2 linked regions of the Oreochromis niloticus genome follow. The protein of the gene in region 2 purifies or fractionates together with the protein of the main gene of each other region. This does not show direct contact. Links are inferred from orthologs where the notes say so. Each region holds a gene or a part of one and is shown on either strand. Other genes may lie near its edges. The genes, in order: pan3 and pan2.

What was found.
Region 1: the proteins of pan2 (region 2) and pan3 purify together in Homo sapiens (co-immunoprecipitation; 5 studies listed by BioGRID and IntAct, with this or other methods). This does not show direct contact. The link is inferred for Oreochromis niloticus from reciprocal best matches to the Homo sapiens genes PAN2 and PAN3.

Annotation. Positions count from the first base shown.
Region 1 is NC_031974.2:18,998,038-19,014,413, reverse strand, and holds the start of pan3 (PAN2-PAN3 deadenylation complex subunit PAN3), read right to left. Parts: upstream 7,509-16,376; coding exon 7,169-7,508; intron 6,300-7,168; coding exon 6,178-6,299; intron 6,113-6,177; exon of another isoform or gene 5,789-6,112; intron 5,064-5,788; coding exon 4,991-5,063; intron 4,898-4,990; coding exon 4,827-4,897; intron 4,662-4,826; coding exon 4,517-4,661; intron 4,341-4,516; coding exon 4,123-4,340; intron 3,788-4,122; coding exon 3,683-3,787; intron 3,600-3,682; coding exon 3,542-3,599; intron 1,971-3,541; coding exon 1,809-1,970; intron 352-1,808; coding exon 235-351; intron 1-234. Other genes in the region: receptor-type tyrosine-protein kinase FLT3, read left to right, coding at 8,379-8,406, 9,027-9,100, 10,748-10,899, 10,979-11,103, 11,210-11,345, 11,565-11,707, 11,921-12,093, 12,254-12,392 and 14 more. UniProt on the Homo sapiens protein: Regulatory subunit of the poly(A)-nuclease (PAN) deadenylation complex, one of two cytoplasmic mRNA deadenylases involved in general and miRNA-mediated mRNA turnover.
Region 2 is NC_031984.2:9,596,634-9,612,900, reverse strand, and holds the start of pan2 (PAN2-PAN3 deadenylation complex catalytic subunit PAN2), read right to left. Parts: upstream 6,020-16,267; 5' UTR 5,887-6,019; intron 5,193-5,886; 5' UTR 5,175-5,192; coding exon 4,887-5,174; intron 4,804-4,886; coding exon 4,634-4,803; intron 4,391-4,633; coding exon 4,270-4,390; intron 4,149-4,269; coding exon 4,071-4,148; intron 3,985-4,070; coding exon 3,714-3,984; intron 2,827-3,713; coding exon 2,481-2,826; intron 1,468-2,480; coding exon 1,371-1,467; intron 1,206-1,370; coding exon 1,086-1,205; intron 956-1,085; coding exon 836-955; intron 745-835; coding exon 616-744; intron 446-615; coding exon 246-445; intron 1-245. UniProt on the Homo sapiens protein: Catalytic subunit of the poly(A)-nuclease (PAN) deadenylation complex, one of two cytoplasmic mRNA deadenylases involved in general and miRNA-mediated mRNA turnover.

The sequences.
Region 1 (16,376 bases), on a different chromosome or scaffold from region 2:
ACAACAATCTATTTGTCACATAGCTTTAGTGTCAGATATTCACATGGAGAGTTTAAATCTAAAGCTGTAGTAACAACGAAATTAGCACATGGCAAATTTGAGACAATTTAGTATAAAATATAGTTATGTAACCAGAAAAAAATGCAAGTATAAAATCATGTAGCTATATGAAATTTCTGTTCAAATACAGGCAAGCATTAAATCAACAAGTCATGTATAGCTAATTACACTCACAGTGGTCTCCAAAGGCCTTGGTGGTGAAGACCTCTCTCAATGTTACAGTGTTTGAGTGCTGAATCTTCTTCCACATGTCCACCAGCATCATGCACTTTGTGTTAACGAGGCGGAAACCTTTGCATATTAAAAATATTAATTATTTATAAGACATTCATTTTATGTTAGATCCAAGCAATGGGTGAAAACAAACAACCAGTGAATACAAAGGGCCCAACTTCAAGAAACCTTTAATTTATTTACTCTACCTGAGAGAATTTTTATTGTTTCACCACACCTTATCTAAATGAGTTTAACTAGGTTTAAACTGGTTTGTTTGAATATAGTTTTGGTTTAAATTCGGCTGGATTTCACAAGTTTTAGGCACAATTTCGATTCTTCCTGGGAAAATATGTTTTACATGAGTAGCTTGTTAAGCTGTACCTTGCTAACATCACACATAAAGCCCACCTGTAAAGTTACAGCATCACATTATAACTGTAATGTTCTGGTACTCCAATGGTGAAAATATTTATATGCTTTTATATTTGAGTCTAATCTTTTTTATATTGTTAGGATTGCAGCTCAGAAAACCCAGAACACACACACACACACACACACACACACACACACACACACACACACACACACACACACACACACACACACACACACCTGGGACACTTAATGCAAATCAATAAAATTAATATTCAGTTTTATCTGCTATAAAACTAAAGCAACTTCCACAACTCCTTTTATTAGGCTGTGGGAAGGTAACCTTTAATGTTTAAATCTATGGAGTTTAAAGTTGCAGAAAGTCCTCAGCATTAAAATAATTCGCTCAAATTAAAGAATTCTTATTGCTCTGTGAGTTAAATCCAAATATTAACATTATTTTCTATAACATTTCTACCGCTATGGTCTCTATCATCATCATATTCATCTTACATGCTTCTTATTGGAATAGGCGGCACTCATAGGGATTATTTTGTGAAGAAGTGTCAGATGATATGTGAAACTCCCCTTTTATGTAAACGAAACAGAGCCTGACAAAGAAAGTCGTCTTAACAGAGACAGCTGATAACCACTGTCATGAAAGCCATTATCACCGGGATTTTTTAGTTTTGTCAAATCAGCTCCCTCTCTCTCTCTCTCTCACACACACACACACACACACACACACACACACTCTCTCAACTGGACATTAAGTGGACACTGCATTACGGCGCTTACGAGATAAAAATCTGTTCTGTCAGACTGAGTCACAGCTCCCCCCCAAGTAATGTATTGAAAGTTTAGAGCTGCAGTCCACCCATGAAAGCATTTAATTCAATTCATTCCATTTTATTTATATAGCGCCAAATCACAAAAACAGTCGCCTCAAGGCTCTTTATATTGTAAGGTAGACCCTACAATAATACATACAGAGAAAAAAAAACAACAATCATATGACCCCCTATGAGCAAGCACTTTGGCGACAGTGGGAAGGAAAAACTCCCTTTTAACAGGAAGAACCCTCTGGCAGAACCAGGCTCAGGGAGGGGCATTACAATACAACATTACAATATTAGAAATGCTGGAACAGCATTTCTTACCATGTATCCTCCTCAGGCAGTACGGTAGGTCATCTTTGCTATTCACTGCCTTGTAGCACGAGGTGATGTAGCTGAAGTTGCTGGTCTTCTGCATGCGGTTTGGTGGGGGAAGGGGCTCGAGGGGAAACAGGCTGTGATAGCTGTCCACCTCAGATGGTACATCTACCAAAAACAGGCATTTTTAGAGAGGGGAAAAAACACCACATACTGCACACAAAGTAAAAGATTTAAAATGTAAGTGGCAACTAGGGTTGGGCGATATGTAAAGATTTTCCAACCGACAATCCTTAGTCCAATAATCGACGATGGGCAATATATTCACGCATGCATAGACATTTTGATAGGCGGAGGAATATAACCAAGCACGGACTAATTTGTGCATTTATAACATAGAAGTCCAAAGATGGACAAACTAATTTCCCCCCAAAATTAGGGCTGATTAACGAGATTAAAATTTTTAACGTGCTCAACCGTCTGTAGCGCAGAATGAACCAACTTTGGACAAACTGCCCGAAATGCGCTGACAGAGCCATTTCAGGAATTTTGACTCAGTCTGCGCTCCAGATGTGTTAACTGTTAATCCCGTTAGTCGTGATGATCGCGCATTAATGCTGACAGCACTAAAAAAAAAAAATATGAAGTTGCCAATTTGGGATGAAAGAGGTAAACCTAAGCATGTAACCAAAGTGGTGTGCGAGCAAAGTAGTCAAACACGACTAACTTGCATGAGCATGTACGTGTCCACCATCCGGCTGAGTATGCTAGGCTATCACCAGCTTCTGCAGCTCCATCAACAAGCATTTGGGCACACTCTGAGGAGAGTGCATTTGCTCGCAGATGAAAGAGGGTGCTGTTAAAACAGCGCTATTATTGTTTTTTCTGTTGGCTGCTTCTATTAGCTCCATCCTTATTAGAAACTTACTCATGGGCAAATAAATAAATAAATCGCCCTCGTAAAAACGATCGCCGATGGGCTCAACCTATAGTTGATAGTCGATATATTCGTCCAATCGCCCAACCCCAGTGGCAACAAACAAGATTTTTGGTTTAATTTACTGGAAAGTTTATATTCCTGAGGTACAAAAAGCTTGTTTGCAAAACAATCAGAAATCTTGTTTTCCCTGTTAGTGACCAATAGTTTACCGTCTGGGGAAAAGCTATCTCGAATAATTGTGAAAACCAGACCCAGCAGAATTTTTTAAAAAGTCCCTGAAGAAGGTGAAGTGGGAGCGTGACAGAAAACAAAAGTAAAACAAGACTGAGCCTGAAATGGACATTCACTCTATTATAAAAGCTCAAGGATTTGTGATCAAAAGCAACATGTGTGTGGCATCATCTCTAGTGGATCAGCTATTTACAAAAAACTGACTGCCTACTAGCCTGATTTATTTTAAAACGGAATCTGAGTCAGACTTTGCAACACGTGCCTTAAGGGAGACACTGAAAAGCTGTCTGTTGCTCCACAGCACTGCTGACGTGATGCGTTTGTGATAGTTGCAATCTTAGCAACTGACACACACTAAACACATACACACAGAGCCCACAACCAACATATTTCACACCAACAGGACAGAATAACTCTACATCACACTTGCAAAAAGCACCAGTGCTGGTTTGTTTACATGTAAATATAGAAAATAGAACACTGAAACAGCCATTTAGTTTTATAAGCGCATGTTTAAGGTCAGTTGTCACAAGCATCCCTTAACATGTCAACAATGTAGATGCTATACCTGGATTTTCTGAGTGGTCAATTTGGGCCATGGTTATTAGATGTCTGTTTATCAACTCCTGAAGAAGAAACAAGTGGACAAGACATCAGTTATAAAGCTTCAGAGAAGAGAAGGGGAATGTTTGGTTAACAAGGACAATACCTGTCGAAGCTCATCAGCCATGAAGAAGGACGGGGCATTGGCTTTCGGCTGCATGTAAGCCACATGTGGCGCCGTGGGTGGATAGATATGGTAGGTAGGAAACACCTGCAATAAAATGAGAAAAAAGAAAACACAGCTTCCTATTTATTGAGAAGTGGAAACCAGTCTGATCATACAAATATTGTTTTCAGGCAGCTATGTAAATGAATGCGAGAGAATGAAACTCTGGTGATGTTATTAAAAAAACAAAAAAAACCCAAATTACATTCCCTATTAGGCCACAGTAATATCAGAGTCAACAGCCATGAATTTACATCTCAATGCGGCCTATTAAATAAGACTCACATTTACATCAAAACTTAAAAACGCAGACTGATTTAAGTGATATTCATTTTTTTGTGTTTAAAGAGACTGAATGCATCTGCAGAGTGTATTCGTACCATCCCAGCCATTGGTGCCGGGGTGTTGTCTGTGTAAAAGTAGGTCGTCCCCCCTACAGTCTCTTTCTGGATAATGTGTGCACCCTGGTCAGACGCAGTGGTGGGCACCATGTAGTTGGCAGGGTTTGGGGTGTGACTGCGTCGACGGGGAGCAGGTGAGGTGTGTGGTGTAATTTTAGGTGAGTGAAGAGGAGAAGATCCCGCAGACAACGACATTCCTGAAAAAGGAGACAGAATGTGAGAAATGTTTCTTAGGAAAAGATTTAATTTCACAGTAATATGTGAGGGAAATCCCTCACGAACTCAAGTATTACAATTTCTAAAGATGAAAAACAAAACTGAGCCCAACAGACAGTGTTCAGGTAGAGAGTAGTTCTCAAAAAAAAACCCACACCTGGAGCCAGGGCAGCAGCTGTGGAGCCGCTGAGACCAGGATGTGCAAAGAGAGGTGAGGGGAAGGCCTGGACAGTGGACTGAGCCATATTGGCCATACGTGGAGCTCCCTTAGGGATGAATTCACTCGCTGCCGGGTTAGGAGCCTGCCAACACAAATGAAAACAATGCAAAAATTAAAAGTTGTCTATCAGTCTTGTTGGAGGCAAATTAACTCATCTTTGTCTGGCTTCAAGTACTTCCTTATATAAAAATGCAATCCTGAACCTTTAAAGAACTCTAATGCTATAACCCGATGTTTGTACGCTCACCTTTCTCCTTTGGGAAATGCTAAGAGCACCAAAATCACTGAACAGTGAGGATGTCGGGGAGTTCACTGGATCTGCAAAGCACAAAGTGTTAAGGGCCCCTTCCAAACTGTGGAACAGTGGATGAGTATCAGCTAGTGCCTCAAAGATATCTGAATACAGCTTACCATGAGTGCTGTGGCTGAAGTTCTTGGCACCATCGTTGAGAAGACTGGGAGAGCTGCTGCTGGTAGTCATTCGCTAAGGAGAGGAGCATCCAGAGGATATGTGTTACAAAAAGCACCGCGCTGTCCAATTATGTTCATCAAAATACAACGAAATACCATAAAATAATTTAACTGCATGGCCTTAGTCTCCAATTATGCTTTCAAAGACCTAAAACTTTTTTGTGGTGGTAGGTTGGAGCTGCTGGTAGCCAGTTGCTGAATTAAACCTATAAATGTTTTAGTTCCAAAGTAGTTGGTGTCAAATTAATAACTAATCTACAAATTCAGCTGCCTCTTTCATGAGGCCAGGGTTTTGGATATAGTCCAACTTCACTGCTTTGGGCTGGTCACGTCACGCTTTGTTCTGCTCTGCAGCATTCTGTCAGCTTGAAATAGGAGCACACGAACCAGCTCTTCACCTGCTCCAGGTTCTGGTTTGAGTGGTCCTCAAGCTCACAACAGATCTCCCAGAGAGCAGAACAAGGACTACCATCACTAGCCACAGTCCAAGACAAAGGATTCAGAGCTGGTCTAAAAGCAAGATGAGAGACTCACTGGAGAGGCAGCTCAATGATATTAAACACTAGCCAAAAAGCAACCCAGCCCACCTGCAGAGTCGAGTTTAGCTCGTTAGCAGCATCTGAACTTTCAAAAACATGCCTGAGGGCATTGTCTACTAGTAAAGTTATTGCATACGGCACAAAAAAAAGAAATGAAATAAGGTTCAACCCTAACATAACCATGTTGCCAGTCACGTACATGTGGAAACCACTGACTGGGGATGTAGCGATATACCCGCCAGTAAATGCCTCGATGACTCCCAACAGCAAAAGATGAAACTTAATGATGGCAGTGGCTGACGTTAACCTATTGTGTCACATCGATTTCACAGTAGCTAAATGTTCAAAGTTGGAGTGATGGAGAACTTGAAGACTTTGGTTTATTGTGAAGCTGTTTTTATGCTTCCCTGTGAAAAAAAAAAGCGCAATAACAACAAACTCAATACAGAAATGTGACCGGTATACCATCAACTCAGAATTTCACACGCATTGCATTCCTAACATAGCAAAACAAAACACGCATAAATTCATTTTCAGTTTGTTTAACTGTATATTTACTGTGACAGACCTACAGCGGCCCTCTTGTACCTGCATCATTGAGTATTTAGGCTCTGCTGGACTTCCAAATCCATTGACCCCAATAAAGCTGCTGCTGAAGTAAGAGTTGGTAAGATTGGCATCGCTCAGGGTTGCACCTTCCATCCCTGGGACTGTAGATGACAACAAAAGCAGAGTTTTGCAGATTAGGACTGAAGCCAGACCGACATCAGTTAGAGATAATTGCTTACACAGTCCAAAAGGTAATGCACTCATGCTAATGTGTGCGCAACTGAGTGCGTCTTCAGCCAATCACAGTTTGAAAGCATGTAAACAGTGAGCCGCAGCTGAAGCTTGACCCAAGGTGTTAGCTACCACCAGCAAACTTTTTTAGTAATACTTCCAGGACAGCTTTTAATGCAGGACTGCAAAGTGCATGCTACTTAAACACAAAAACACAACACACAAAAACAATGCCTACTAAACCGTTAGCGTAGGTAGGCTAGTGTTAGAAAAGACTCAACTTGGAGAACAACACTAAACTTCACTTTAAGTTAAGTGAAGAAGAAAATGCAAAGTGCTGATAAAAACACTCATTTCTCCTTTTTGGAGGAGAAACCCAAACAGGTAGAATAAGTTAAAGTGGTCAGTTTAAACATAGTTTAGCTAACGCTAGCGGGCTATTAGCTGCAGGAGCTAACGTTAGTGGGACGCGGATTTCTGCCCACTCACAGCTGTCACACAACACAACAGGCCTCCTCGGCTACAGCAGCATGGCTCATGTTTTGTGTTTTTAAGATACTGGTAACACAACGTGTAGTCAAAACTTGTGAGACGACAGTTAAAGAGCGCGTTATATGCTAGTTGCACGTTGGGCTGTTTTGCTAATGTCTGGCAAGTAAAAGTAAACCACGTTGTTTTGGCGCTGAGAGGCCTCAGTGAATCCTCGGGCTAAATTTTAACAAAGCTCCGTGAGGCCGGAAAGTAAAGTCACAGTCAGTCACCATGCACGAGGCCTTGGTTTACAGTAATTTGTACTCACTGGTTAACAGCTGCCCCTCCAGAGACGTATTCGCAGGCCCCAATGTTTCACTCTTCTTGGGCACGCCGGTGCCCCCACCGCCCGGGCAGCCCGCCGCGGAGCCGCCAAGGGAATACCCCGCTTGCGTCCCACCACCCCCGGCCATGGACAACGGGACAGGGCTGCCGCCGCCGCCGTGCAGCGGCAAACTCGCCAAGGACGGATCCTCATGCAAGAACTGACACTCATCTCCATAAAAGCAGGTTTTGTCTTTTGCGTAGTATCGACAAAACTTCACCTTGACATTAGGTATCCCGGCACCCCCGAGCGGAGCAGCTGAAGGTGAGAGTCCACTGTTCATGGCACTGCTGCTGCCGCCACTGCTGCCGGAAGACGCTCAAACATAGAGAGATGCAGGAAGCTAGCGTGCTAGCCCGCTAGCTTTCAACCAGTTTTCACTTAAAGGAGCGTGTTAATGTCACTTCGGGTGATGGAAAACACTTAAGATCCCAGAGTACTCACATTCTAAGGCTAAGGAGCATTTTGGTTTGAGGAAATATCACTGCATGTGAAATCCTGGTCGTCGTTGTTGCTTTTGTTGTTGTCGCTATCCATGCAGCTGCCTTCGCAAAGTAGCCTGTTGTTGTTGTTTTTTCCGCTCACAGCCTCTGTGCTGTGCTACAGAGCCGCTAGCATAGCTGTGCATTGTGGGTAAAGCAAATTGTACCTGCTGGATGCAAACTAAATTTGAGGTATCTGCGATGTTGACAAAGATATAGGGGGAAATTTTCTTTTTTTTTCTTTAGCGCGGCTATCATTCAGAATTAAGCAAACGATGCAAACATGATAGAACATTTTAAAATACGTTTTAAAAAAGAGAAAGAGAAAAGAAATTACTTCTTATTTTTGGTCTTACTGGATTATGGTACAAATATTTCCCAGCATGCATACAATATCTCTCTTCTCCCTCTCTGTCATGTTGATAACGTAGAAACCAGCCTCTTCAGTTTTTTCTTAATGAAAACACCCAGAAAAAAATTATTGTACTTCCATTTTTTAAATCTCCAACAACGTTATACTGGCGGATTGACAGTATCTCGCGTGTACATTTTAGGCTCTCAGCGTCATCCAATGGTCTTATACTTCCTCTATTTATAAGGCACATACGGACGTCTTGTACGCCAGTCTAGCCACAGAGTGAGCATGTAAACCAGCCAGAAAATACGCATCAATGCCGAGGCACCAAAATATGATTGCGGGTGAGTAAGACTCTTTCAAATCCCTGTTTTGTGGCCTGAATTATTGCCACTGAAGTAGTGCAACTTTTAGCTTCACGTTTGGCCATTTACCAGTTAGGGTTCAAAAATTTAAAATTAGCATGTTAGAAATAAAGATTCAGATATAAAATATTGGGTTGACATCAAGATTTACATTTTCAGTTTGAGGAACTTCAAGGCTCAGCAGCGACTGACAAGTGTTAAGGCTAACATTTGTAGTTCATATAAGGTGACATATGATGCTCTCAGAAAGAAAATAAATATCCGAAATAATAGGTGTGTGTCCCTATAAAAAACACAAATTACACTTTGTGTGATTTTTATAGTTTATAAGTGTTTAACATTTCTGTTTTAATATAATAAAAAAAAATTACTACTGTGCCATTAATAAATTCACAGGAAGCACTAAACACATCAGTTCATTTGTCCGCATGACTGTGTTGCATTGCGCTTTTTTTCAAATTTGCTTATTTACTTAAGCTGTATTTTCTTTAAAATTAAATAATCAATTCCTGTTTAATTTGTTATTTTCCAGTAAATTTCTAATAATTCGGGAAATGTGCATTTGTTTGAACTGAAGTTTTCATTTTCTGTATCTCCAGCTGTTCTGCTGCTGTGTGCTGTTGGAGCACTGTCTGATGATGGGAAGACCCAACCATCTGTGCCCAATCATGAAGTAAGAGCTGCTTTAACTGGAAAATAATGAGGAAAAACAACACAATTTAGTAGATGCTGTACAACTGCTGAACTGACAGAAAATAAATGTAAATAATATATGCACAAACCATTAGAACTCCAATATGAAGTAATTCCACTAAAGCACTTTTTTGTATAAACAAAAGAAAATATTCTTCAAACTTTGTGTAGCTTTATCTTATTTTCACTAATGACAGTGTCATTGTTTCATGAGTATGCAGAAACACAAAAATGCAGAGCAACAAAATGCTCTAAAACATCACAGGGGGAAATGGTACTCCTGTTTCATTTCTCGAAATCTGTCACTTTGTCTCATTTCAGTAAAAACTCTGCGTCCAAATTTTATTCCATTATAAAAGTAATGGACATTTTTTTAACCAGTTCATAGTTTAATATTTTCACACATGTAGTTGTGTGAAAAATAAAGTATACCCACTTTCGTTTCTATGGTTTTACATGACAGGACAAATTAAAATAATCATCTGACACTTAGCAGTGACATTATTTGTTTAACAAATACTGAGTCAAAATGCAGAAGCTGTGTTTAAAAATATAAGTAGACCCCCAAGATTTAGCAGCAATAGCTTTAATAATAGTTTTCTGTGTGAGGTCATCAGTCATTCTTATAGCCCAAGTTATCACCCCTGCACCACCATGCTTCACAGTTGGTATGAGGTGTTGGTGCTGATATGATGTGTTTAGTTTTTTCATCATATGTGGTGCTGTGCATGACGGCTAATCGTCTCCACTTTGGGCTCAACTGCCCAGTGGACATTGTTCCAGAAGTCTTGGGGTTTGTTCAGATGTTCAGATTTGTTCAACTTTGCAAAGCTAAGCTGGGCTGCCATGTTATTTTTAGAGAGACAAGGGTTTCTTCTGGCAACCCTTCCAAACAAGCTGTGTTTGTTCAGTCTTTTTCTAATTGTACTGTCATGAACTTTAATAATTACAATGTTAACTGAAGCCAATAGAGACTGACGTGTAGCTCACAAGCTTCTTGCTGATTCTGAGGTTTGCACTGTCTGAATTTGGGGTGACTTTGCTGGGACGTCACTCCTGGCAAGATTGGCAACTGTGTTGACTGTTTTCCACTTGTAAATAGTCTTTCTCACTGTAGAATGATGGATTTCAAATGGCCGAGTAACCCTTCCCAGATTGATTGGGAGCAACAATTCATTCACTGAGATGATTGTTGATGTTGTTACTCTTTCACGCCTGAATGCTCCAGACCAGAAAACCACTGAAACATTTGTTTTATAGAGGTGCTCATGATTACTGATGATCAGCACGTGACCGCTACTTACCCTCTTAAATCCTGTGGAAGTAATAAATAGTTACTTTGATTTTCATACAGTGCTTCTCCATTTTTGCTTTATTTTTCTTAAATAATTATATACTCTAATATTTTATGTGTTTTTATGTTGTCTTAATATGTAAAATTGAAGCAATGTTTATGCTTGGTTTGGTGATTAACAATCTCTCAGCTTTTATTACAACTTCAGACAATTATTTGCTAAATCAACCTTTTTATGTGTTTTTGTAAACCATTTTCTTAACATCTTGCCATCAGTGATTATTTTATTGCTGCTTAATAAAGGAGGATTAAATGGTGGGTCTTGTTCTTCAGGCAGCATGTTTGCTACCAGCTGATTATCAGAATCAATCTGGTTCCATCAACAAAGAGTTGGCTGTGGGTAAGAAACTCATCATCTCCCTGGAGGGCCTCTCTGGATCTCCTGTCTGCCACTGGATCAGAGGAGAAGACCGAGTAATGACAGCGTAAGTGACCGTCTGTGTTTCTGTTTGGGTGCTTTTATCTTTTTATGCAATTAAACTGAGACGTTTCCTTTAATCTCAGCAGAAATGGGAGTCAGTCCATGGTTACATCACCGCTTTCTGAGACAGATTCAGGGGCGTACACTCTGACCTGTGAATCCAAAAATGCCACCATGTTTTCCACGACTGTGATTCTTTATGTAATGAGTGAGTAACAGCTTCTCACCTTCTTTCTTCGACAATACTCAAACAATCTGTTTGATCATAAATTAGTGATAATAAAATGAATTTAATTGTTTTCTTTGTTGTTTAGAACGTCCAACAAAACCTCCAACAAAACGTCCAACAAAACCACAGCTGATGCTCGATGGTGTGGACGTGTCAGATACTTCCCCGCTTTTTAAGTGTGTCTCTGAGGGTTTCCCCAAACCCACAATCCAATGGTCTGGGTAAGACGTTGTCCTTTACGTTTTTATGCAAACTTTAGAATAGCAGCACTTCTTAATGTCTGATTTTAGACTGAATCATTTAGAGAGATGCTTTATTTTGGTAGGTGGTTAGGATAGATGGTATTAGACAAGCTTTGATAATAATGTATGTCAAAGACACAGCGAATATAATTTTACATAATTTTACACCACTAACAATTTTTTTCTCTGTTTGAACAGTAACAAGGATGTAAAACAGAGTTTAAAGGAAAGTGACAGAAAGACAGAGAGCAAAATATCAAGCGCTCAATATTATGATATAGGAATGATGTGCTGTGCAAACAATACTGAAGGACAAGAGTGCTCCCAACTGTATGACTACGGTAACTGGATTTAAATTAACTAATAACAAATTTAATACATCCACAAAGAATATATCCATAAATTATTACAGGAGTTAATTTGAGTAAAATTTGGTTCAAATACTTGAAAAAACAATGTTTACTCAGAGATTCACTAACTAATCTCAGAGAAGTAAATGACAAATTCTGCCTGCCAAATATATTTTTGACTTGAGGCCCTGATGTGTGTTTCAGACTTACAGAGCAGTGTAATGAACAAAGATGAGGTATCTACTGTCACCCTGAGCAAAGGTCAGTCTCTGCTGCTTCGCTGCAGAGTAAACGGATACAGTCTGACACCACCTGTGTGGGAGAAAGGAGGAAGACTGCTCGATGCCAGGACATTGTCATGTAAACCAGAGGAGGAGGTACAGTAATGTCCTGTAATCAGGGAGAGTTTCCTTAAACTTTCTTGTTATGTTTGTCTGAAAACTGACTGACCTCTTTAATATTACTCAGTCTGAGACACAAAGTACTTCACTGATAATCATCCTGCAAATGATCATTATTATGGTTTTTTTCTTCCAGATGTGCATTAAAAATGACTCACATTATGGTGTTCGGATGGCCTACCTGTCCATCAGATCAGTGAGAGAGGAGCACAGCGGCACATACACCTGCACGAGTACAAATAAAAACTCAAAGTCTGTTGATGTTCATGTCTCGGGTTAGTAGACTTCATTTCATGTCATTATTATTTGAAACTGTTCCCACTGAATAAATCTGACTGGTTTATTCTTGTGTTTCCTCAGATGAAGTTTCCCTCTCTGCACAGCTGGATGAGACCAAGATCATATCAGCTCAGGAGGCATCCAGCACCTGCTTGCAGGCCACTGTTTCCTACCATCCTGTTCTCCAGCACTGTTCCTGGGAGACTCCTGACAAAAAAAGGACTAAATGTGTCAGGGAGACATGGGTAACACAGCACAGGTACTTCAATGAAGCAAACTGTCACCATGTAGAAGTGTAAAAATATCCATTCATTCACGTTTTTCATGAGCAGCAACAGAGAACTGCTGCTGTCCAGTGTAATCATGTGATATGAGGTCTATAATGAACTGTTTCTCAGGACTGTGAAGCTTTGTGATCCACTCATATCAGGAGATTATAAGTTACACCTGGAGGCTGGAGGACAAAAGGAAACAAAGACCATATCAGTGTGTGTTGTAGGTGGGTTAATGTAGCCTTTGTTACATTTTTATTAGTATTTAAATGTAATTATGTTTGACATCATCTGATTTTGTTCCAGATGAACCAAAGTTCAACTTCTTGTTTAATAAGGATGATGGTACCATCAACCTTGAGACTGCCAGTCTGGTGCCAGCAAACTATACCTGGATGGTTTGCTCTAAGTCCAATGACAGGTATGATTACCTGCACAGTCGTTCAGCTCAGAGAGCATTTTTAGCTCTGATTATTTAAACTCCTTTTACTTTGTTTTACTGCAGCTGTGAAACAGACTCGTCCTGGGATGAGTTCCCAAATGCCTCTAAAACAGTCTCTGAAACAGACTCTAATTTTTCCTGCAACAAGCCGATCAAGAGCTCAGTGAGCAAAGACGTGGTGAAAGGAGACCAATTCAGGTTTTGTCTGACAAACTCAGTTGGAACCTGGTGCAAAACCCATTTCATGATTATCCCACCTCAGTCCTCTATTGGTAATAACAAATCTTTAATGAATATATTTACTGAAAATATTTGATGAAAAAAAATCTAAAAGTTTTCATGCTCACACTGTTTTGTTTTGTTTTATTTTTTAGGTAAGCCACCTGAGGATAACTCCTTCCTGCTGAAAGTATGTGTGGTTCTGCTTCTGGCTTTGATAGTCGCCATTATGGCGCTCATGTGTTTTATCAAAAAGAAGGTAAATATAAATAAGTTGTATCAGCATACATTTAAATGCAAACACACACAAAGACATGACACCAAACCTTTTATGTTTCCAGCAGAAACCCCAATATCAGCCTCAGCTTCAGATGATCCAGATGACTGGACCCAGTGATAATGATTACATCTACATCAACTTCAAGGACTTTGAGTATGACAGGAAATGGGAGTTTCCCAGGGAGAACCTTGAACTGGGTATGAAGTAAACTAGGTTACAGGGTTAAATATATGCATCAACACATAAATGCAATGTAAAGTTTTGCACTCAGTCAGTAAGAAGAGGTTTAAAAGAACATTCAAATATATGTAAAATTATTGATTTAGCTGCTAGCAGACCTCTGAAACCATTAAAAGAACGAGAGGCCCTTCAAATGGTAACAAGACGTACTTGAGGGCTTGCAAAATTACAGACTGAAGCAGAAAAAAGAGGAAAAAAAGTTCTTCTACATAAATGTGTTATCTGTGAAATATTCAGACTTTCCTCTTTTCATTTTTTTATGAAGAGTTTTACCTTTCTGGGCCTCAAAGTGTTGTCTGAACTCAGCAACACACCACGTTTAAAGAGGAAATGTCTCTTTGCCGGAACTTCTAACCAGATAGATACGTGAAACATGTCAAGGGGCCCCAACAGGACACCTTTAAGAGGCCGCAACTCTTTGGTTTAATATTGCAGAACAATCATTTGTCTTTAGTTTTTAATGGAATAAGCTCAATCTAAAAACTAACTTAATGTGAACACTTTTTTCCCTCATATTTCATTACAACGTGTCGATAAACTTCGTCAATATAATGAACAAAACTGAATTTTGAGCGTTTTTCTGTCCTCCTCAGGTAAAGAACTGGGCTCTGGAGCTTTTGGCATGGTGGTCCAGGCTACAGCTTATGGCATCAAAAAGCCAGGAGTCTCACAGAAGGTGGCCGTCAAGATGCTGAAAGGTTGGTGTTCGTTTCATGAGTGAAATGCAGAGCGTTAAAAGGGGTTATACCTAAAAGTGCTAATCTTGTACTTGACTCTGCAGAAAAACACCAGACTATGGAGAAGGAGGCTTTGATGTCAGAGCTCAAGATGCTAACTCACATTGGACACCATGCCAACATTGTCAACCTGCTCGGTGCATGCACAGACTCTGGTGCGTTTAACACATGCACAATCTCATCTTTCAGATGAGACCTACTGCACTGGTTTCTGATTATTTGGCATAAATCTTGTGCGCAAGTCATGATCTTGTATATTAATGTCAAACAGAAGTTTTAAAATAACCTAATTTCCCCTCATCTAGGACCAGTATACCTGATTTTCCAGTACTGCTGTCATGGAGACCTGCTGAATTACTTAAAAAACAACTGTGAACGTTACCACAAGTCTGTCACTGACGCTTTTGACAAAGACCGTTTCAGAAGCCTCTACCACAACCTGCAGCTCAGGAAATGCCCCAGGTGAGACAGGTTTCTATATCAGTGCTGCCTTTTGTTTATTTGTTAAATTATTCTCTGCAAAGTTGGTGTGGCATTACAGTTGTGTTACATTTGTCTTTTCTCAGTGCGCTGGAAGCACCAGTGGATAATTACGTGCCTATGTACACCGCTACCACAGGGGGGCAGGAGGACATCGCACTCCTTACCATCAACTCTGACAACATGGACAGCTGTGAAGGTGAGAAACGTGATAATAAGGCCAGCAGAGCATGCACGTTATCATGGTGAAAAAAAGACGTTTAAAAAAAGGTGTATGTGTGAACAGAGGTTGACACACTACTGTGAGATTCAGAAATGGTGGCTGAACACAATTTATCTGCAGATCCAGAGAGCTTTGAAACCCCAGACGAGCAGACGGAAGACCTGGAAGCCCTGACCTTTGATGACCTGCTGAGCTTTGCCTTCCAAGTGGCAAGAGGCATGGAGTTCCTCTCCTCCAAGAATGTAGGCGACAAACACCAGACAAACCTCTGTCACCCAGCCTCTCTGCAGAAACACATTTAGTCTTTTTAGTTCCTCTGTGTTGATGATCAATTTAGACCTAAATAGGCAGACTTAACCTGAAACACCTGTGTTGGTTTCTTAGTTCTTTGCATTTTGTCATAATATATCTATATTTGGGAGATTTGGAATTTTATAAACCGCACAGTTCAAGGGAAATTATTTAAATATAACTAAAATAAAATTGCATATCAAAATAAATACACAAAACATATGCTGATGACTGCTCCTTTTGTCTGCAGTGTATCCATCGGGACCTGGCAGCTCGAAATGTCTTAGTGACAAACGGCAGGCAGGTGAAAATCGGTGACTTTGGACTCGCCCGGGACATCGACAACGACTCCAACTATGTCGTGAGAGGAAACGTATGTTGGATGATACTATGGTCATTTTATATTATTCACTGACTCTTATGTTAATCACTGCGGGTGGGTGACTGAGCTCTGCTGTCTCACAGGTGCGTTTGCCAGTAAAGTGGATGGCTCCTGAGAGCATCTTCCAGGGAATGTACACCATGAAGAGCGATGTCTGGGCTTATGGCATTCTGCTCTGGGAGATCTTCTCACTCGGTAACTTTCACAAACATTAACTCATTGTGAGCAGCACATTCAAAAGATAAACAATCAGTTCTAATGTCTCAATGATGTTTGACTCAGGTGTCACTCCATACCCGGGCATAAAGGTGGATCATATGTTCTATTCAATGATTGAGAGAGGATTTAAGATGGAGTGTCCATACTATGCCAATGAAACTGTGTAAGTCTCATCTTAAATGTTTCATAAATGTA
Region 2 (16,267 bases):
CAATCGAACTATTTCTAAGCATTGGTCCCCAGGCACAACACCCATACATGCGTGCTTTGGCAAGGGCACAGTGACTGGAATAGTAAAGTAACCTAGCACATGTTAAGGATGGGAGAAACACCAGCTCCCGAGGAAACCCACAGACCCAGGACTCTTTCTCTAAGCAGCGCTAACCATTGTGCTTACTTTCACCTTTACCTGAAATTATTTTCAGCCTAGAACACCTCCAGATTGATGTATTATACCTGCTGCTAGCACCTCTGTAGGCTTGCGGACCCTCCTGCTCCTGTGTCTCCTGGTGAAGCTGGGTGAGGATGAAACGATTCCAACTTTGGATCAAGCGACCAAGCCTAGCCTTCCCCGTTTGCTCGTCTGAGTCTGAGAGGATCAGGCCCAACGCCGAGGCTTCGGGGATGGTTCGAAACGCTCTGAGGAAGTTACTGGCCTTGAGGAAGATGATAGGAGATGGTACTTTGGGAAAGCTACATAATAAATTATTGTCCAGTTGCAAAGAAATGAGAATTCAATTTAAGGGTTCTGTATTTCCCAAGAGGCTGAATAGTTATCAAGTCAAAAAAAAAAAAATTTCAGAGAGATGAATGGAAAAAAACTTACCTGACATGGATCTCCTCGTGACAAATCTAACATGTGAAAGAGGAAGCCAAGCTCACAGGCCAAACAAAACTCTTTCTGGCACAAATGATTCTGAACAAGACACCGAATCGGCTCCAGGAAATATAATACCTAAGACATCAATAAAAAACCAGAGAGCAACTCTTGATGATGTCTCATATCAAAAAGTAAATTTTTACATTGTAAATCTTCAGTTTCTTACCTGGATCATGCAGTTACAGTAGGCATTGGGAATGTGTGGCTCCAGGCCAGCAAACAAGGTCCTGTTGTAATGTTTGAAGTCAAAGTCCTCCAATCCAAGTTTAGAGTATTTAATTGTGACCTGAAGCAGAACAAAGACATCTTCATCATGTGTTTTGGAAATCTAAATTTAAAGCAACACTTTATAGATTGTGATACCTCAAAGATAAATCTCATCTCTATATGAGAACGAGAATGAAATAAAGTCCAACCTTTCTATATTTTTTGGGCACCATGTAAAGATGTGGCTCTTCATCACGTCCTATTGGTGACTCAGGGACCTGGTTGTAATTATCATAATCAGGCTCCACATCTTTAATTTTATAAGGAACCTGAAACCAAAACAGGGAACAAAAAATAAGTTAAATTATGTTGAAAACCATGTGTTTATCTGGTCTTCAGCCTTAAAATAGAAAAATTGTTAGGATTTTGTAAAGAAGGACAATTAAAATTCTTTTTTCCCAATTTAGATTAGCATAACCAAGTTCTTCACATGCCTGGTTCCTGGGGCGGGTACGTGGATTTGCTGCGTAACCAATGAAGCCAACAGTTTTCATAGTGCGGAGGATTTCTGGGTCCACCGGAGGGGCTCGTCTGTTTATTTAAAAAAAAAAGACATGTTTTAGATTGTAAAGCAGTTAAGGGGAAAAGGGGGAGGGGGCAGCCACAAGCCATGCTTCTCATTCTGAAGTGCCTTTAATAGTGAAACACGACTAAATTCATATATTCATTGAAAAAATAAATAAATTACCAACTGCATCACAAACTTAACAAAATCTGAACACGAAAAAAAAAAATCCAACCAATTTCAAGCCATAGTTTACATGTTTTAATTAGTGTCGTAAAATATGACGCGTCTCTGTACCTTCACATAAAGTGTGTAATATATGACTTCAAATACAGATGTCAGCATTTCCAGAGGTAATGTCATCAACTATGACTGCAGAAAAGAGAAATTAACCACTTCCAGATTGTCAAGTAATATGTTTATGGTATGAACAATTATGTCATACATGAGATCGTACATCTCCATTGATCCAGCTTCCCTTTCCTGGTTTGGTTTTACCATATAAATTCAGAAAAGCTTGAAAATGTTTGATATTTCTCCACACTGTTTAAACACTTCTTTTTTTTTTAAAGAAAAATGATCCTTAAAAAACTGAAGTCAACAATGCTTTACTCTGTCTCTCAATTCTTTCCAACTTCCTTATTCTGTCTGTGGCATCCAGCCCCGAGCCCACAGGTTCCTGCTGAAAATGTAAATTTCCTTAAAACACGTCATAAACCTATAGTTTAATTTTCCACCGAGGCTAAATAAATTCCTAAAACAGCTGGGAACTTAGTCTTGGCAACAGTGTATTTTTTGGAACCACTTTCTGCCTTTGATGCATTTCTTTGTGTTTTGAGAAGTGTGACATTGTAATGTAGAGTTCGTTTGAGATAAACTATAGTGACCCTGATGAACAGACAGAAACAGTTCGGTTTTCTATCCGGGTTACTTTCCAGAGTGTGTGTTTCAGTTCAGTTTTTGGTGACTTTTTTGTTTTTAATTTTAGTTTTTAAGTTAAGTACAACAGTTCTGTATATACTGTTAATAATTGTGTTACCTGGGGCTGGGTGTAGCCAGGGCAGTGGGCCAGTCTGACAGCAGAGGCTCAGTGCTCGTCAGCGGCATGGGGATCAGAGAGAGGGGCAGCAGGTCGTGATTCCAGTCCAGCTGAGGCAGTGTGTCCACGAGGCAGGGCAGGGCAAATTCCGTCTCCCGTGAGTAGTCGTTGAATGAAACTTCTGGAGCATCGGACCAAAGGTGCACACATCCCCCTGAATCCCCAAAGGCTAAGGCTTGTTTGCTTGTTGACACGTCAAAACTCATGAGCAACTGGCCCACTGTGTTGACGTGAAAAATATCTGCCATGTTGGCAAGGCCGGTGGGCTCACAGAATTGGCACTGACCTGGAAAAAGAGAGAATGCAGGCAGTTATAGCGAAGCTAAATGTACTATCCGTCCATTCTCTTCCACTTTTAATTCAGGGTCATGAGGTGGGGGGGCTGGAGCCTATTCCAGCTACCATAGGGCGACAGGCTGTCAGACTGTTGCAGGGCCAACACAGAGAGACAGACAACCAGTCACATTCACAACTATGGTCAACTGAGAATCACCAGTTAACCTAACCCACACCACCATGTTGCCCTGCCTGCCACATGTACCAGTTTCTGAAAGCATAAGAGACTGCAGTCAACTACAGGAATGCCACTAAAGCTCTTGCTGGCCTCACTGTACAAATTTGAGACAGCATTAAAATGAAAATAATTGTGTACATTGCCTGTGTCATGAGCACACTCTTCTATAGCACTAAGACCTGGACAACATACGCCAGGTGGGAAAAGACTCAACCCCTTTTCACGTATGATACCACAGTCGCATTCTAGGCATCTTATCAGTCAAGGGAAGACCTTGCAGCTGACTACCCAAAGTGGAGAGGTACTCTGAAGCAGCACCTCAAATTCAGAGAAGTAACACTACAGAAAGCAGCGCCAGATAAGCAGAGAGTGATTTCCTGTGTAGACAGAAAGCACACAAGCACAACCTCTGCAACTGTTGTTGAACAATTTAGATATTAGGAAACATATGTCAAAGTTATGAAAAAAGAAAAATAATAGATTAAGACAGAGTTTTTACAAAATTGTACATAAAAAAAAAGACAAAAAAATACATTTGACTGTAATGTCAAAATTTTAATCTTCTTAGTATTTCACTTATATTGACCAAACAAACCAAGGAAACTAACAAGCAATCAGACTAAAGAACTCTAAAGCTGACTCAACTCTTTAGTTCATACCTGTCTGTGAGATGATTGCAAGCCGTGACGTGTAGGTAGGAATGAAGCGCAAGAAGAGGGGATCCACATGCACCTGAAGGGGGGTTACAGCACGCATCATGCGGAGGTCATACACCATGAGGAAACGGTCACACGCCAACCCATTCAGGCCTCGGCTGGAGAATCCACATGCAGCCAGAAGGTTTCCGTGAACATCAAAGTCTGACAAGCTGCCAGAAAATGCATCAAACTCATGCTCCATCTTAAAGGTACGCAAGTCACGAAGGGTCACCTGTTTTGAACGGAGGGTAAATGTGAGAGTCATGTAAAACTAATAAATATATTTTTTCAAAACTGATATAATAATGTGAGACTTACTTTGCCAGAAGTGTGCCCACAGAAGAAGAAACGATTGGTCTGACGCATTATTGCCACTCCAGGTACCTCCACTGTGAACTGGAAGGACAAACAAGACAGCAGACAGTCAGACACTTGCTGTGAATTCAGTCCTATGCTGTGGCAGTGGTGCAAGCATAGAGAGTTGCGAATATTGATAAATGCAAGCCTGATGTCTTACTTTTTGAGTTTCTTGGACTGTATTCAAGTCAACTTCAGCCACATAGTTTTGCAATCCACCCATGAGCAGCGTGTTGTTATCAGTCATGAGGAGACTGTGCATATCAGCTCCTTCCTCCATCCTGCAAAGCACCAAAAATGGCCATTAATTCCTTAACCTTAAAAATAATTTCACAGCTCCATGTCATTAAAAATCAATATGAGCATAAAACAGACAGGTGGAAAAACACATCCCTATTTATGATGGGTAGGATTCACAATAATATCGACTGACAGATTTTCTTCTGTATTTTTGCAGCAACCTTCATCAGGACCCTTAATGTTGTCTTTTCTCTAATTTCTTACCAATATTGTGGAACACTTACGGATAATCAAACATGACGAGGCCTCCACGAGTGTAACATCTCAGGTTGCATTTAGAAAGGAACAGCACGCCTGTTTCCAAACTCTGAATATGTCGGATGTCATCGGTGGCATGCACTTGGAAAGAAGAGTAGCGTGCCATTGTTGGTCCAAAGAACGATGTTACATGACCCTGAAAAGAATACAAAAAAGGAATATTACAAAGTGTAATGGCTGACGAAACAATCTGTCCTCCAATATAATTCTGGGTCTCACTCTGTGGTTTCCCATCCAGAGCATTTCCTCCTGCAGGTCAAAATGTGTTGCAGTGACAGGGATGCCAACTTCTGAAACTACACTGTGCAGCTCAGAAAAGATCCCCTCCATCAGGTGTACAGGCTCAGGGACAGTCACAGCCAGTCCCTCTGGGTCCAGCTCCACACCCTGGAGTAGGTTTGGGTTTAGGTGTGGGTCCATGGAGGGCTCCAGGCCTGCATCTAGAGTTCCATGAAGGCTGGCTGAGTATTCACCCATTCCAGGGTCGAGACCGTCAAAGTTCATCATGGATTCAGTTAAATCAACCTAAAGAGAAACGCCAACGCATGTTAATAGTGACACTGGGGTCATGTTAAAGTGTTGGTTTGGAACCAGTTTGTCTTTGTCTTTTTGTGGCTGGGTTTGAAGTGCTCTAATGTTAGGATGTTAGGCTTGGAGAAGGTTCTTTCGAGTTTTTCATTTTCCAAGACGGTAGTCTTGTTTCGTTTCTTTTTGGTTAAAATCTGAGGTTGTTTCTTTGACTTAACACTGACTTAATATCCCATCATATTTTTAAAGCTGGACAAGTAATGAGAGGTGAAACATCTTAAAAAACCTAAGAAGAAGTCCAGTAGTCCTAAACGCAGGCGCTGAAGACTACAATGACCTGGATGACTGAGAAACTGCAAAAACATCCTGCAGCTTTGATGCTAGCTTTGACGTAGCTTACAAACGCGAACTCTAAAGCTAACAGGGAACAAAACCCGAAAGACAATTCTCTGGTATCCATTTCTAAAACGTACATAGGGCAGATAATCTAAAAAAATAAAATACACACGAGAGTAGTGTCTAATTTAGCCGTGTTTGAACGCTGCTTGTGTCCTTTATCTAAATTAGCTAATGTTAGCAGCGTTGTGGCTAACCTGAACTGTTCATGCTAAACTGTGCGACACCTATTATACTAAACAGTGCCACCCATTTCTTAAACTTAAAAGTAGACCGATTTAAGGTGATCACCTACCTAAACCTGAACTGCAAAGGTGTCCATGCTCACACTTCATTCACAACAACAAACACACGGACACTGGAAAACGTTTCCGGGGCACCTCTGGTGCGTTTAGGAACCGCGCTGGAGCGTAGGGTTCCGTTGTTATGCCAGACGCACATTTCATAGTAGGCCTATTCATTCAGTCTTTAACTTTAATTGCTGTAATTCACAAGTTGATGTAGCTATTCATTCAGTAAAACACTAGTAAATTATCTTATTAATCATAGTTCATAGTTTATGTTTTTCATTAAAAAAAGACAAGCACATGAGATTTATAGGTCATTTTGGAGTTGTTTTGGAACATCTCAGTTATCTTGACAGCTAAGTTGACAGCGCTAATAATATATTAATGTAATACGATCATCAATTATTCTCTTTGTATGGCTAGGTCTCTAACCTAGCGCCGCATGATACGTGAAGGCACCGTGAACTCCCTTGTGTGTTTGTGAGATCCTGAGTTCGACTCAAAATGGTAAATGGTAAATGGCCTGTATTTGTATAGCGCTTTACTAGTCCCTAAGTACCCCAAAGTGCTTTACACATTCAGTCATCCACCCATTCACACACAGATGATGGCAAGCTACATTGTAGCGACAGCCGCCCTGGGGCGCACTGACTCAGGTCGGGTTCCTTTTATGTAGAGTTGTTTTTTTGTTTTTTTTTATTGTACAAACTAACAATTACTGCACAAATCTTACAAGTCAAAAGGATCCTTTTATGTAGAGTTTGCGTGGTCTCCCCGTGCTTGCGTGTTTTCTTTGAGGGTACTCCGGCTTCCTCCCACAGTCATAAGACATCCAGTTAGCGGGGTTAGACTAATTGATTGATTCTAAATTTCCCATAGCTGTGAATATTGGGTTAGCCCTCTAAAGGACTGGCGACCGCCTCACTATGGTAACTGGGATACGCTCCAGTCAGATTAAGGGATGCCAGAGTTCAAAGGGAAATTTTAAAATGACGCAGTATTAATTTCATCATCAGAAAGGTGACAATTAAAACTTTTTTTCTCTATACTCAAATTTCCATGCCATCATAGGTGTGATGACAATTCAGGCTCATTTTATATCATGTCATGAACAAACATGAACAAACAAAGCCAGTCAAAGCCAGTAGCTGTATTGCATAAGGCATTTCTGGAAACATGAACATATTGAAGTCAATGAAGGTGTTAACATCGTGTTTTGGTTGTTTTTCGTTGGGCTTTGCCAGTGATTACTCGTCCTTTCACAGATAGTTTTAATTATCGTTTGCTATGTCAAATCAAATTTGTAGTGGTTCAACCAATATTAAAAACAGCTAATAATAATTCAAAATATGGTATTTCTTCATCTACAGCTAGGATAAATGTGTAAATTATATTCAGTAAAATATATGTAACCTTATTTTAAACTAATCTTTACACTGAAGAAAATCGTGTTATAAACTTTGATTTTTATGCTAGAAACAGCCTATGTTTAATAATAATTCTTTAGCACTTCACTGATGGCCAGCCATTCAGCGCACTTCGGGAAATAATCAAAATTGGTGACTTTTCATCAGTCCACTCTTATCTGTGTCCATCGACATAAAAATAATGATGTCAAAAATTCCATATGATGAGGTTGGAGGCGGTGGATTTAGACTCATACACATATTTTCACACATGGCTTGTATCAATTCAACTACGCAATGAATTAAAAAATATGTCGCTTGCTTATATTTAGGAATTAAAAACTATACTACCTTGGGCTTAGAGAAAAATTGTGGTTTGAATTAAAATTCAACAAATTCCCAAGTTTTAAATCTTTGTTTTCCTGGTTATCATGGTGACGCTACCCCGCTTTCTTAGTCACAAAGCCGTGTTCACTGATAGTGAAGACATAGGGAAAAAAGTGATAATTCGTGTCCACGCAAAGGCAATCATTTATTTTTAAAAATAAATCCTGTCTCTTTGTAAGGTAAATGAGGTGTTTACTCAACTACTTGTGCCTAAAAAGTTCTTATTTCTTATGCTTATTATGTGTGCCTATGCCAAGAGGCACACATATTACTATTTTCTTATACTGCTTCTCAGGGACCAAGCCATAATGCATAGAGGACACAGGTGTTTAAGTCAAAAATGGGGTTTTATAGATCCAAAAATATGAAAAATAACTGACAAAGCCAAAAACTTAAACAGGCAAACCAATAAAAGAGCTCAATAAACTAAACTCAAAATAACCACTAATAAAATCTCAAACAAACATAAGAAAAACTGGCCTCCTGAAATAATAGAGGGAACTTACTGGCTTAGCTAAATCATATAAAAGACAAGGGGAAACCAAAGTGGCTGCCATATAACCAATTAACACAAAACAATTATACAAACTCCAAACACCCCCGAGGCAATGATGCATGTGGTTTAGTCCAATGAGGCTGTCAGCAGTACTTCAGATCCCCCAGCCCTTTGCCACACCTTTTGCCAACCGGGAAGGAGAAACAGAACCCCCAGGTAACTCAGACAACGAAAGATGGATTAATATACCATAAAACAGAACTTTGACCTTGGAGTATTGATATGTGTGCACTCCATATAAACACTGGAAGGTGTAATGGAAAAAAATACATTTAATAAAGAAACAATATATTGGACAATAAGTAAAATATATTTAAAGTAGTGACTGCAGAGTAAACTAAAGTGAAGCAACTAGTGGTTAGGTGTGGAGGTTGCCATCACAGAAAGTGAAGGGTGAAGTTGATCAGAAATCAACGTGGAGTGTTAAAAGAAATGATATATTTAAATAAATATGTATTAGTATCAAATTAAAGCGAAGATGTTAAAATGAATTGCGCAGAAATAATAAAATGTGGCAGTTAATAGAAACTGGTATTCCACGCTGACTATGATGGAACCATGATGGCTCTTCTTTTTTACAGAAAGGTATCCGTGGTGTTTCACCTGCATGTGTCGATAAACTGTGGAAGTACGAGTTTATGATCCATCACTTCCAAACTCTGTGAAATGCAAGAACTCCCTCCAATTTTCTTCTTTTTTAAAAAATATCACATTAAACTAAATATATTTGAATCTTGGATTGCTGCATTGGTAAAACACCTGCACCTACCGGATGTGTTCCAATATTTTCTAATAAATAAATAATTATTGGCATACAAATTATTTCTAAACGAAATATTTAGCGTGTGGATAATTAAAGTAATTGTTCGCTGCTGATGAAAATAACAAAGCAGAAAGATAAAGAGGACTGCACCATTTGATAACAGCACAAACCGACCATAAACGACCTGAGCAGGAGCTTTTTCTGGATTTTTATTCCTGGACAAAGTGTGATAAGAATTATGTGCATAATATGGCTTTCTCACATGCCTTAAGTGAGGAGCTGTAACGTTTATGCTTTTATTGGGCATGTCTTTGCCGTATTTTTGAGTGGTTCTCAAACCTTTTCTGGCATGTCCTCTCCCTCCCCCTACAGTTAAAAGTGAGATTAAGTAATAATAATAATAATAATAACGGCCGCCTTGATTACACCAACACACTCTTGTTTATTTTCCCTATATTATAAGTTTAATCAGCTTGGTTTCAGTTCATATTCTTCCCCTGGTCGTGTCACAGTGAGTGCCTAGCATCGCGTGGTTTAACTGCGCAGCCACAAGTTGGAAGTGATTAATCCCAGCAACAACTAGGACACAGAGAAGTGGGACTGTACGTGATCCAGGGGTTTACATAGCAGCATATGTTGACGTTGTTCAGGGGGAAAAATCCCATAGCAGTGGGAACATCAAAGCAACAGAGTGTGTGAAAGGGATGGTTGACCCGCAATTTTCGGATCCTCTGTCGTGTTGATCTTTCTTGATTGGACAAAAACTCTGTTTATTATATCAGCTGAGGATGAGCTATTTGATGGAGGTAGCTTTATGCATTTTTCTCCTAATCTGAAATAGTCTCTTACCAAAGCTTTTTAATTGACAAATAAACAGCCAGTAAATCAATAACAGGATCAAATCATTAGTGTTTGTGCGCCCCTGCGTTTTCGCAATAATATTGAACAGAAATGGGAAAGATAAAGGAAGTGTATATCTTATGTCTTCCCTGAACTTTTTCTTTCTCAGAAAAAAGCAGACGATTTGGTTTTTCTCTGGTAGTGAAGAGGGGCAGATCGTGGACACAGACGGGAAGTTTGCCCAATAATGTATAGAGAACTCGCCCTGTTATCGCCCTGAGATACAAAGGTTACTCTCACTTCCTCGCCAGATGTGAAACTTTGATTAGAAAGACTTTAGTTGATGTCTTTTTCCTTGTAATCTTTCACACATAATAAGTGAAAAATGTGGTCATTGTGAATGATTTCATATTACACGATTAAAGCGACCCATAAAGGGGAAGACATGAACATTGTAAGACTGTGAATAACATTTTTGCTAGCCTGGATTTTTTCTTTTGTCTTTCTTTCATTGTATTGTATTGTATGTATGCGTAATACGGCGACATCTTGGGCTCTTTAGCGTTATCGTTTAAAGCCCACAGCACTACCTACCCGAATTTTTTTGCTAACCGTGTCCACAGTGTACCCATCTTCTGATAGCTGATGGCAGCAGCCTTATCTGAATGACAGTGAGTCCACTGTACTCAAATGTCCTCCACAGTCACCAGATCTCAGTCGAGATTCGGGATCTGGTGGAGAATCACATCGTGGTTAAGCAGCCGCAAAATCTGCAACAACTACTTGATGCTATCATGTCGATATGGACCACAATCTCTGATAAATGTCACCTTCATCTTGATGTTTATATGACATGAAGAATTAAGACTGTGCTGAAGGCACAAAAAGGGGGCTAGACCAGGTCTTGTGCCAAAGAGTCACAGTCTGCAAATAAAAATAAAAATGGGAAATGACTTGTTGTTGTCCTATAACCTGTTAAACAAATGCCAAACACATCTCTCATGAATGATATCAAGCCATTTTGAGTCAAAAAGAACATTCCTATCACCAGCCAGTTAGTTTGACATATTTTTTCATGTATCTGGTAAAAAGTGTAATTGATGTTAAAATACTTCATTCAAGAGAGATCCTGCCAAGAGGGTGGCAATATGAAATTCATATAAAGATATTTTATGTGCCCAAAAAGGCTTAGTTGATTATAAACCTACAAAGTAGGTATTGTACAACAACGCAGTCACAAGTAGCTAAACTTGCAAAACAGGTAATTTCTTTATTTTATATATAACATATATATTTAACATATATACATGGCATTTATTAACACGAGCAAAGATATTAGAAACAACAAAATCGCAAATCACTTGCACAAGGCTGGTACGAGCGAGGTGTCCCCAATTAAGTGACCGGTGAATGCAGTTTTCAGCATGACTATGCCCAGATGTGAAACTGTTTAAGTCAGTTGGCCTTTTTCGCTTGTAGCCTTATCACAAACAGTAAAGCGTGAAACTGTGGTGGCGCTGACTAATTTCATATCATGTGTGATTAGAGCAACTCAATAATTAAAAAAAGGGAAAGACGTGGATTTTGCAAGCTTATGAATATCATTGTTATGATCGGAGTTTTGCTTTCTTCCAATGAATTCTAAATTACCTAATGCGTTTCCTGTCTTCCTGTTGCGTAGTAGTGTAGTCTGGTCCACACCTGAGAGGGAAGCCCTTGGGAAACCCTGTATTGAGTCACACCAGTTAAAAGCATCCCTCGCTCTCTCATTCTCAAATCACACGCAGACTGGGCGCGTTCTAACTAACGCGGGACAATATTTAAAGAACCAGCACCTCTCTCACAGACAGAATCGCACACCAGGAGGCAACTGACAAAGCACCATGACGCTCTCGTTTACTTTTGTTGTTTTGTCCTTTGTGTTTTTTTCGATCACATCTTCTGCTCCAGCCGGACATCAAGACTTTTGCGTTGATGTAAAGGCCAGTTCCCTGGAACTTAATAAAATTGCTAGAAATGTATCTCTGGAGGTAAGTTGTTTTTTTCTTCTTCAAACAATTTCTTAATTTCTCCTTTTAAAACATTAGTAGAGGAGGAAAAAACTTTTTACTGCGCATTTGGAATATGTTTTGCTCACTCAAATGCACGCTTAGACGATGGCAAAGCAATAAACACATTTAAAAAGTCTAGTTTTAAAGGTTTTCTCACAGGAGATGCATTACATTCTACCACGACGCGCTCATACCGACTGTCTCCAAATGTTCTGCAGGCACGAAAGGGATTAGTTACGAGAGAAGAGATACCATTTAGCACCTTACTTGTGTGGATGGAGGCGAAAGACATGTGTGATCCTGAGACCCTCAAACAGCAATCTCTGGTAATATCACTTATAAGAATTATAAACTGTGACATGAATTGAATTGAACTAAAATTGACATAAATCTGTGATTTCAAAATACGATATGTTATCTGATTGGGTGTGATTTCTACTCATTTTGTCTATTCTTCGTCCTTAGCCATGCTTTGGGAAGATGATCAAAGTCCTTGACGTTTACAGAAGTCTGCTGAGGAGGATTTCTGAATTTGAAAACTGCTCAGAGTTTGCCAGCCAGGTGATGCCAGTGATAAATAAGCTGCACAAAGACGTGACGAAATGCGCTGATTCGAAGGGAGACTGGGGCGCAGAGAAGGTAAGTTTGGTCAACGCAAACTCAATTATTTGTTTTAGACAACAGCACTGACAAGGCTTACTGATCGTTCTGATTCTGCAGGATCTCCCCGTCGGTGAAGAAGTAGCAATTCGGGAGTGGGAGAAGCCGTATCTGTGTCACTACACTCTGGACAGACTCTTCTCCTTCTCAATCTTCACCGCTCGCGTCCTTTCAGTTGGAGATCCGGTTCACCACACAAACGGAACGACTCAGAAATGCATGTAGAACCTCACAGTATTTTAAACACTCAATGTATTGAGCGTCTTTTAAATTGATCACAGTGATCGCAGTTTGTAGTGCAGTTTTCTGTAGTTAATAACTTATCGATTTTTAATGCTATTTCCGAAAGATTTGATATCTATTTATTAAAGTTTTATTTATTGTATTTATTATTTTTATCCCTAATAACCAATGAATACTTTTTGTATTCACCTCTGTATTTTTCATTCAAATTGAATACAATGTTTATTATAATAATAAAAACTGCTACGCATGAGAACGTGTTTTGAGCCTTAAATTTAATATTTTTTATTATTTATCCTATGGCGATTGTTCTTTTTGCCCAAACGATCACAATAAATGCTTACTCATTCAGGAAATTTATGAAGTTACCTGTACAGAGGTATCCCTCTTTTCACTGAATAATTTTGAATAATAATGTTATAGTGCTAAAAGGAAGCTGTGCTTTCCTAAAACATTCCTGCTGCACTACTTCCTGCATATTTCCTCCCAGTCAACGCCTCTGCTCAGACCTGTTTGTTTGCAGTCAGATGATGCAACGCATGTGCAGCAGTAATTCAAAGAAAGGGGAAAAGAGAGAGAGAAGGTGACACGTTTTAAGGGGAAGAGGAAGTAGTAATGAGGCCTGTGAGCGTAAAGGCACTAGGCTGCTCAACAAGGAAGTTTCTCCTAGTGTGAGTGATTTGATATCCTGAAATTATTTCGCCTCCCTCGTGTCCCACCCACCTGCACTCTTTGTGAGTTAGAAACTCCATACTTTACCGTTTCCATCCACTGCTGGAGAGCAGAACTTATTTTCCTGGCTCTCAGAGCACATGAGGAAATTATTTACCTATTGAGAACATTTGCAAAAACTGAAAAATGCTCTACAACTAATCAGGTCAAATATAATACACAGAAAAATGACAGATGTGAACCACACACACAGCATTTAAGGTGCAACACTAATCAGAGCAATGGATGCTTTTGATGTCTGTGGGTAGGATCAGTGTTACATTTTTTTTTTTTTTTTTTTTTTTTTTTTTAAATCACCTGCATGGTTTGTTATTGTATGAGACGTGACGTGCCTGTAGACTGTTTACTCTACAGAGGATTTGTGATGCAATCAGGAAGTTCAAAAAATGTTACGATTAGTCACTCGAGAGATTTTTCTAATTACGGTTATGAGCATTTAAAAAATCGTGGGCGGTGTATTGAAGGGATTAAGTCATACTTTCTTCCTTTTTAAAAAAATAAATCGAACCAATTAGATTGCAAAATGAAAAGATCACCAAATACGACACAATACACTCATTGGCAATCAGATGTAATCATATGCTTTTAAGATCAGGATTCAAGCTTTTCCTTTTGATGAAGCTGACAGGACTGGGGAACTTCCAGTGATGCACTGAGCATTTCTTTCCTTTTCCCCTAATTCATCATGCATATCATGAACTCCTGTCTTCTCTCTCCCCAAGTCCATTGCTGTATGATAAAAATCTAAAATGTAAATGTTAAAAATTTCAGTCTGGATTGAAGAGCTGCTAATGTTTTGGTTGTTTTTTGTTTGCTTTTGCACAGCAGTATCAAAAGATCAACTCATTTAAGTGTGTTATTGTGCAGAAACTGAAGATTTTCAGTCTCCCTGATTTATGTTGACTGAGCAGTTATTCATTCCCAACTTTGGAAAGGACAGTTCAAATCAGTTAATAGAATTACTGCTAAAAAAAAAAAAAATCATAACTAGATGGTTGTGTAAAAATGTGTGACCATACTAGAACATACTGTACAGTCATCCAGTGGTCAGTAACCATAACATCATATTTATTTATTTAAACTCAAACAGCAGTTGTCAAAACAGCAACTCATGATCCACTTTTTCTTTCTTTTTGTCCATACTATGAGTGTGCATACTATGTTGCAGAAACTAAAGCTGTTCAGTGTCCCTGATTCTGAACCACTCACTGTTTATGATTATGTCAATTGATCATCAGAGGATTCTTAGATTAGCCTTTATTGTCTCCCTTGGAAGAAATTCACCTTGGACAAATGGGGGAAACATGTCATCTAGGAGATGAGACACATACAAATCCTCATTACCACATGCAACCACCCACTCCCATTCAATAATCTGATTGATAATGGCACTAGAGAAAATGTGGTTTGGTACCCTGTACCTTTTTCCTGAGGGCATCAGTTCATACTCATTATAAAAGATGTGGTTTTTGTCCATAGTGACATTCAGACCTATTCAATCATTCCCACCTTTGAAAACAGCAGCTTGCGTTAAATAATAATAAAATTGGCTTAAATATAATTACCTTTGCCAAGGAGGTTATGTTTTCTGGTAGCGTCTGCGTGAGCATCGGTTATTCCTTCCTTCTTTTCTAAACTAGTTTGAAAAGTTTTCAGTGAATTCTGATAAAACTTTGTAGGGCTGTAGAGTGGGGTCTTATTAACAATCCATTCAAATTTGGCTTACATTCACTGAGAATTTCAAGGCCGGCTTAATTTATTTAATTTATTTGTCAAAGATTTGAAAACTAAATACATTCTAAGACTTTTTTGCCAATATATACAAATATATTTAAAAAACAAACAAAATTTGTGATCAAAAACTTTATTCACCTGATATTTACTAAAAATGTAAGCAAATTTTAATAAACAATAAAATGAATGCTACACATGTACTATTTCCACAAAAATAACAAATAAATATACTCAAAATTATGTCAGGTATATTAAAATGGGTTTCAACAGAGCAAATAACAAAAGCTTGTACTGTATGCTTGTTTTTACTGCACTACAAACTCCTTAAAGTACATGTAAAAAGAACAAAGAAAAGAAAATGAACATGTCCATAATACAATAATTCTTTACTACTATAAAAGTAAATACTGCCCAGAAAATGACCTGTGTTGGCGGATGTTTGCGCTCTCAGAGTGCTTCTTGTTTGTTTGTGTGAAATGTGTGACGCGAAAAGCTTAAATTCTTCAGAACATAGTGTACGGTCACCTCGTGGTCAATAACAATGACATCACTTCTCTTTTTCTTTCTTTATTTATTTAACAATGTGCACATGCTACCGGGAAACAATATCCTCAGGATCCTCCAGCACTACTTCCTTTTTTCCCCCCTTTTACTGTTAGAGGGACAATAACCAGGTGAACCCAAGTGCAGACACCAAGCGAGAGACAGGGCACAGGTCAAAAGTATTTTCGCGAAGAGTAAGGGAAAATGACTAGGGATGGCCATATCTGACAATTTGTCCAATTATGACACAAACACGTCCCCCCTCTGTGTGAAACAGAAAAATTATTCTAGCGGAAAATGACAAAACCTCTATTTTTCAGTATATTTCTTGGTGCTTCATTTTCTTTTCAATGCTTTCCATCGTATTCAACAAAATCTGCCAAGTTTGTGACTTTCTGTTGACTTGTAATTTTCACTGATGGGCATAGCATTAGATTTTACTACAGTAAAACTCCTTCCCTTCACAACCATTGG